Linked DNA regions of Drosophila melanogaster. The protein of the gene in region 2 interacts with the protein of the main gene of each other region in a pairwise test. Each region holds a gene or a part of one and is shown on either strand. Other genes may lie near its edges.

Evidence for each region.
Region 1: the proteins of l(2)k10201 (region 2) and CG18262 interact in a two-hybrid assay, tested with the Drosophila melanogaster proteins (one large-scale study listed by BioGRID).

What each region holds. Positions count from the first base shown.
Region 1 is NC_004354.4:8,151,137-8,155,195, reverse strand, and holds CG18262 (uncharacterized protein), read right to left. Parts: upstream 2,249-4,059; 5' UTR 2,153-2,248; coding exon 743-2,152; 3' UTR 663-742; downstream 1-662. Other genes in the region: Gbeta5 (G protein beta subunit 5), read left to right, coding at 3,053-4,059.
Region 2 is NT_033778.4:9,397,029-9,400,636, reverse strand, and holds l(2)k10201 (lethal (2) k10201), read right to left. Parts: upstream 1,558-3,608; 5' UTR 1,549-1,557; coding exon 883-1,548; 3' UTR 791-882; coding exon of another isoform or gene 769-790; 3' UTR 738-768; downstream 1-737. Other genes in the region: CG33774 (uncharacterized protein), read left to right, coding at 589-689, 769-790; Non1 (putative nucleolar protein 1), read left to right, coding at 2,006-2,053, 2,179-2,453, 2,523-3,608. UniProt on the Drosophila melanogaster protein: Vital for development.

The DNA.
Region 1 (4,059 bases), on a different chromosome or scaffold from region 2:
CATAGGTCTATAATTGGAAAACTTAGTTGGTCTTGGGTTTACCCGTGATACCTTATCAATGCATTTTCAGTGCTTAATTAATCTTTAGTTTTCAAAACATTCTCGTCAATTTGATTGATTTTAACTATATTTGTAACTGAGTACGTCCATTTGGCAGAAATGTCAGCCCTATTTTAAACTAGTTTACTTAATATTGCATCTAGAATTATGCTAGGTTTTAATTCTTCAGTTTATCGCTTCGAAAAACTAGTAATGAGTGAACCGACCAGCGCATAGAATATAAAATATGTACCTTTTTTGAAAACAACGAAGGGGCGGGAATATATTTTTTTAACCTTTAACGCAAAAGCCTCCGTTTATGATCATCAATTTCGTTTGGAAAAAAAAAAAAAAAAACAACAAAGGCTGTATGTATTATTTTATCCCAATACTTAACTTAGTCCATAGCGATACGAACTACATGTTTAGAGCTAAGAATCCCGGGTAGAATGCACACGCTGGCAAGGATTAGAGCCCAGACTCATCTGGACTTGGATCGCTGACAGCTTGGAACCCTCTCCGTTTAGGAAACCCCAATAAAGGACACTTTTGTACCGCAAATCAATCGTTTTATGCATCTGCCTTCTGGTTTCTTACGATTATTAATTCATTTCCAATCTTCTGATTTCTCTCATTTATTATGGCGCAATTTGGAACTTATAGATGAACTACATCTAACCTTATATTAATCCTAGCTAGCTACTCAGTTGGCCAGGCGCCAAGTGGTGGGTGCAGTCTCGGTTTGCTTTACCAGCTGCTCCTCCACATTGAGGTCGATGGCCATGGTGATGGTGGTGGTGGGCGGACTCTTGCCCTCGATCACCTCGATGGTGACCGATTGCGGCAGCGGCTTCACAGCTCCCTTAACTCTCGCCGGATCATGGCTGCGCATGTGGGCATTTAGACCGCCGGACTGGGCGAACGTCTTGCCGCACAATTTGCACGCGTACTTGCGCTGCTCAGAGTGGAGCAGCTTGTGCACCCGCAGCGCCTTCTTCCGTTGAAACGTGGAGCCGCAAACGTCGCAGACGAAGGGCCGCAAATTGGTATGCGATACAGCATGGACATTGAGGTCATGAAAGCTATAGAATGCCTTGCCGCACACCTCGCATTTGGCCGGCCTTTCGCCCGTATGGCGACGCATATGCGCCGTGAGAACGCCTCGATCTCGGCAAGGTCGTCCGCACACCTCGCAGATGCAGGGCATGCGACCAGTATGGCAGATACTGTGCGAGGAGAGCTCCTTTTGCGTGTAAAAGGTCGCGTCGCATTCCGGACACTTGTGCGGCTTGATGCCACTGTGTCGCTGGCGGTGGCGCATCATGTTGCCCGACTGGGTGAAGGGTTTGCCGCAAATGTCGCAGAAGATTCCCGTGTGCTTCCAGCGATGGCCGCGCAGATCGCGTTCGGTGCGAAATGTCTGGTTGCAGGCTTCCTCGTTGCATTTGTACACCTTCGGCGGACCTTTCCGCTTCTTGCTATTGCGTTCACTGGCGGATTTGTCCAGACTTCCGCCGTTGGCTTCGCTGTGCTTTAGGCGGCGATGGCTCTGCAGGCTGCGTTTGGTGTTGTACGCCCGGTCGCACTGATCGCATTGGAAGAGCATGTCCTTCGTGTCGTTGCTGTCCTTCGTGTCATCATCATCCGATTCCCCCTCCTCCTCCTCGTGAGTTTCATTATGCTCCGACTGCTCGCCGCCCGTCCAGTCGAGTTCGATGTCCAGCAAATCCTCGCGAGTCTCCACCAGGGTGTTCTTCATGGCCGCTGCACGCTGGTAATGCTGGCGTTTGGAACCTTCCTCCTTCTCCTCCTCCTCCTCCTCTAAGTCCGGGCTAGCTTCCTTTGCCAGTTCCTCATGTAGCTCCTCATTTCCCTGTACTTCGACGACGTCCTGGGCAATGGGATCGCTTTCCAGTTCGTTGGAACACAGCGAGCTGGAGCTGTTCGTGAAGTGTTTCAGCCGGAAGTGTTCCGGGTAGCCGTCCAACGGCAAACGCTGGTCGCACAGCAAGCAGCTCACTTCGTAGGAGGCGGGTGCACTGAATAAGACCTCGCCGCAACGCAGATTGTGGTAGCCACCGGCCACATCCGGCGGTGGCTGCACCTTGATCATCGCGGCTTGCTCCCTGGTCTGCCTGTGTGGAAGTGGCGGTCAACTGGCTCCGGATTAGCAGAGGATTCCAGCCGTTGGCGTCGCTTTTTTGTAAGTGTTTGTTTCAAGGGGGTGGGGAAGGGTGGTTTTCCCCAGCTGATGGTAGTGTTGGCTAACGAACCGCAGTGTTGAGCTTACCTTGGTTGTGGCGCCACATTTGAAATGGTATTTACTCCGATAAGTTCGTTATCACAAGTAGTTTCTAGTCATAACTTGGCGGAAAATCATCATGCAGCTTAAAGAATAACTGTTTTGAACAGCCAATTATCACTACTAACGAACCCTATCACTTTTGGGCGGGCATAGAAAAATTTATTTTTGTGTCATATTTTTCATGTTTTTTAAGGGGTAACATTAAATTAAAATTTGCAAAAAAATGGAAAAATTTTGAATTCGCAAATTTGAATGCAATTCGATTGGAAATTTCATTACGAGTTCAACGAGATATGACATACCATATTTGGTCAATTATTTTCAAAGTTCTGGGCAAAAAACTGATTATTTTATGAGGGAAATTCGGAAAACCGGCTTTTAACAAAAACAGAACAAAAATTTAACAAATTTTGACGCCAATTTTCATCAATACCTTGTCATATTGATGAAAATTAATAATAATAACATCGTCACAATCTTTTATCAAGTTCTCCGAAAATAAAGGATATGTAACGGTACATTCTGCCATTTACCAACGGTAAAACTTATCGATAACCGACCGCGCCTATCGCTGTGTATTCGGATTTTCGTATTCGAGTATACACTTTTTTTCGGATTGATTTTTCGCTGTCCAATTGGAGAAGTTCGAACGGGATAGGACACACAATCCCCGAGAGATATCCATAGAAGCGCCATCTCAGAGCAACCATGTCGGAGGCGGCGGTGCCAGCGAGCAATGCGAACGCGAATGCCACTGAAAAGATGGCCAGTTTGGTGCGAGAGGCGGAGAATTTGAAGACCAAACTGGAGGAGGAGCGCCAGAAGCTGAACGACGTCAATCTGTCGAACATCGCAGAGCGGCTGGAGCAGATCGCCTATGTGAACATCAAGCCGCGTAAGGTGCTCAAGGGCCACCAGGCGAAGGTCCTGTGCACCGACTGGAGTCCCGACAAGCGTCACATCATCTCCTCGTCGCAGGACGGACGTCTGATCATCTGGGATGCGTTCACCACGAACAAGGAGCACGCCGTCACCATGCCCACCACCTGGATTATGGCCTGTGCCTACGCGCCGTCGGGCAATTTTGTGGCCTGCGGCGGACTAGACAATAAGGTCACCGTGTATCCGATAACCTCCGATGAGGAGATGGCCGCCAAGAAGCGCACAGTGGGCACCCACACCAGCTACATGTCGTGCTGCATCTATCCGAATTCCGATCAGCAAATCCTCACGGGCAGTGGCGATTCCACATGCGCTTTGTGGGACGTGGAATCGGGCCAGCTACTGCAAAGCTTCCACGGACATTCCGGCGATGTAATGGCCATCGATTTGGCTCCCAACGAAACGGGCAACACCTTTGTCTCGGGCAGTTGCGATCGCATGGCCTTCATCTGGGACATGCGCTCTGGTCATGTCGTTCAGTCCTTCGAGGGTCATCAATCGGATGTGAATAGCGTTAAGTTCCATCCTTGCGGAGATGCCATAGCCACTGGATCGGATGACAGCAGCTGCCGGCTGTACGATATGCGAGCGGATCGCGAGGTGGCCGTGTTCGCCAAGGAGAGCATCATCTTTGGCGTCAATTCGGTGGACTTTTCGGTCAGTGGAAGATTACTGTTTGCTGGCTACAACGATTACACCGTCAACTTGTGGGACACGCTGAAATCGGAAAGGGTCTGCCTGCTGTACGGGCACGAGAACAAGGTGTCCTGCGT
Region 2 (3,608 bases):
CCGTTAAATATGTTAATTTATAATTTTTGGCGAGAATTTACAATTGTTCGCTGAATATTTTTATGAAAATAAAATAGAATTAAGAATATGGTTTTGTTATTTGTAGTAAAAAGGTGATAACGAGTTTTGGATTTCAAATGTTATGGAGTTATTGAAATAAAAATAAAATATGGTGGAAACCTTTTACTTTTTATAAATGACGTTCATTTTGAAATTGAAAAAAAAGAAAAGAAAACGATTTTTTTTTTAAATATCCGGTTTGGTATATCTGGTATTATTTATGGTTCGCGAGGTATATCGGTATATTTTAGTGGTCGATCTACGGTCACGCTGAAATATTTGTACACAATAAAAACCGGCTCGTTTTTTCGCTGAAAAAGGTAATAAACTAAAGTTAATGAACGCAAACGAAACAATCGGTGAAGTTAATCGACAAATGAGATGCATAATCCCGCGTTGCATTTTGGTGGATACAGAAATAGGCCAGAAATCGCGATTTCCACACCGCACCCATGACGTGTCACTCGCCCACTTCGTTTCTAATCAATTAGTTTGTTTTTATCCATAGAACGTGTTACTGTCTGCAAAATGATCACCGACGTGCAATTGGCCATTTTCTCCAACGTTCTGGGCGTATTTCTGTTCCTGCTGGTGGTTGCCTATCATTATATTAATGCCAATACCGGAAAGTAAGTAATCCCACTTGGTGAAGAAGAGGAAGAAGACAGCCCGGAATCAACAATAAAACCGATTTTCATTTATTTACAGGCCCAGTGCCAAGGCAAAATGATGTAGGATGTTTCCGCTAACAGACTAATATAGTTCTACCAGGATAATGATAATGCTGCTTCATTCGCAAAATAAATATGTAGTTGTACAAATCTAATCCAGGATGTCGTTAATGGCCTCCTTCATGGCCTGGACATCGTCCAGTGTTTTGCCAGATCTCTGATCTTTGCCTGTGTAGAAACTCCTCTGCGTTTGATGTCCAAAGCTGAAGGCCTTGACGTAGGGCAAACTTTTAGTTTCCTCTATCACCTCGTCCACCTCCATGGAATTGGGTTTGCTTTTGCCTTGATGCTTCTGTTTGCCCCTATTCTTGCTATGATCAAAGCGATAGTTTGCCGGAAGCTTGTGCGTTATGATGCAGTGATCCTTGCGCTGCCGGGCAGTATGAAACTTGATGGTGCACTCTTCCAGAAAGCAGGAAAACATGGGCTTGTCACCGCGCTCCACGCTGGCGGCAAAATAGCAATCGTGCTGTTCGGTGATGTGCAGATCCAGTAGATGGGCAGTGGGCAGCATTTTTCGGCATTCTACGCAGCTGTAGCTCTGCTCCTTATCTATGTTGTCCCTGATCCTAGCTGCCGCCGCATCCTGCTCGCCCAAGATGTCATCGATGTCCACGAGAACGCCGAGTTTCTTGAAGGGCGCCAAACTGGGTGCAGGCGGATCCGTGGGCTTTATGAATCCCGCTGGCACTTCGCTTAGTATCCTGATGATTTGCTCTCTGGAGAGAAGTGCTACTCCCGCAGCTTCCGAATCCATTTTGTTTGTGTTGCCAAAATGTTTTGTTTTGGTTCCTACGCCAGTTTCAACATGTTTCCACTGTACTGCCTCTTGGAAGATGTGATTTTGTTTAATTTATATAAAAATTAAAAATAATTTCCTTTTGAATTGAAATAGTAATACAATTTTTGAAGTGCATACGTAAAATAGACATAATTAATGAATTGAAATACTCGCTCATATTTTAGATGGATATATTTCTATATTAAACAACTGCAATTAAGTTGAAACATCTTAAATGCCTTTGAAATGATGCCACATCGCCAGACTTAGTTACGCGGGCTGGCATCGCCGTGCAGCACATGTGAACCTAAACTGGTTCCGCCCGAGAACCGGTTCTTTTTGGAATACGAAGCTGACACCGCGTGGTGTTTTTGCTTTCGATTCCGCATTTATTTTCCTTTCGACGCGTGGAAAATAAACAAATCCTGCCAAGATGAGTCTGTACAACTTCAAAAAGATCATGGTGGTTCCGCCAGCAAAGGTAAGGTGTACCCAGCAGCGCCCGTCCCGCGGAGCACCCCTTGAAGCAAAGACATAACCTCACTGGAGGTGTTTACCAATATGCGCAATATGTAAATAATATTTTATTTTTTGCCCTTTCCACAGGACTTCATCGACATTATGCTGTCGAAGACACAGCGCAAGACCCCGACGGTGGTCCACAAGGGCTACAAAATATCCAGAATCCGGGCATTCTACACGCGCAAGGTGAAGTACACGCAGCAGAACTTCCACGATCGCTTGTCGCAGATCATTCAGGACTTTCCCAAACTGGACGACGTGCATCCTTTCTACGCCGACTTGATGAACGTGCTGTACGACAAGGATCATTACAAGCTGGCGCTGGGTCAACTCAACACAGCCAGGCATTTGGTGGACAAGTGAGTGCCAAAGTCACAGATCCCCAAACGAACAAGGTTCGATTAACTATTCTATTTTTTATCCCGCAGTGTGGCCAAGGACTACGTGCGCCTGCTGAAGTACGGTGACTCGCTGTATCGCTGCAAACAGTTGAAGAAAGCTGCCCTGGGTCGCATGGCCACCATTATGAAGCGACAGGCCTCCAATCTGACGTATCTGGAGCAAGTGCGTCAGCATCTCTCGCGTCTGCCCACCATCGATCCCTATTCGCGTACCATCATCATCTGCGGTTTCCCCAACGTGGGCAAGTCCTCGTTCATCAACAAGATCACCCGCGCCGATGTGGAAGTGCAGCCCTACGCCTTCACCACGAAATCCCTGTACGTGGGACACACAGACTACAAATATCTGCGCTGGCAGGTCATTGACACACCCGGCATCCTGGATCATCCCCTGGAAGAGCGCAATGTGATCGAAATGCAAGCCATTACTGCCTTGGCTCATTTGCGCGCCTGCGTCCTGTACTTCATGGATATCTCCGAGCAGTGCGGACACTCCTTGGAGGAACAGGTCAAGCTGTTCGAGAGCATCAAGCCTTTGTTTACAAACAAACCCCTCATCCTGGCCATCAACAAGATCGATATTCTAACACCAGAGGATCTGCCAGAGGAGCGACGAGCGATTATCACCAAACTACAGGAGGACAAGAACATTCCCGTAATGCTCATGTCCACCGTACAGGAAACCGGTGTCATGGAGGTGAAAACCGAGGCATGTGAGCGTTTGCTCTCGTACCGTGTTGACCAGAAGATGCGCACAAAGAAGGTGGACAACATCCTGAACCGCTTGCATGTGGCGATGCCAGCGCCGCGAGATGACAAACTTCGTGCACCCTGCATCCCAGAAAAGGCCTCGGCGCGCCTGCTACAGAATGCCGACAAGGCAGAGCGCAAGCGCAAGCTGGAGAAGGAGATCGAGGAGGAGATGGGCGACGACTACACGCTGGACCTCAAGAAGAACTACAGCGAAATCCCCGAGGAGGAGCGCTACGACATTATTCCAGAGTTCTGGCAGGGTCACAACATTGCCGACTACATCGATGCCGACATCTTCGACAAGCTGGAGGAGCTGGAGCGCGAGGAGGGACTGCGGGAGGAGAGCGGCGTCTACAAGGT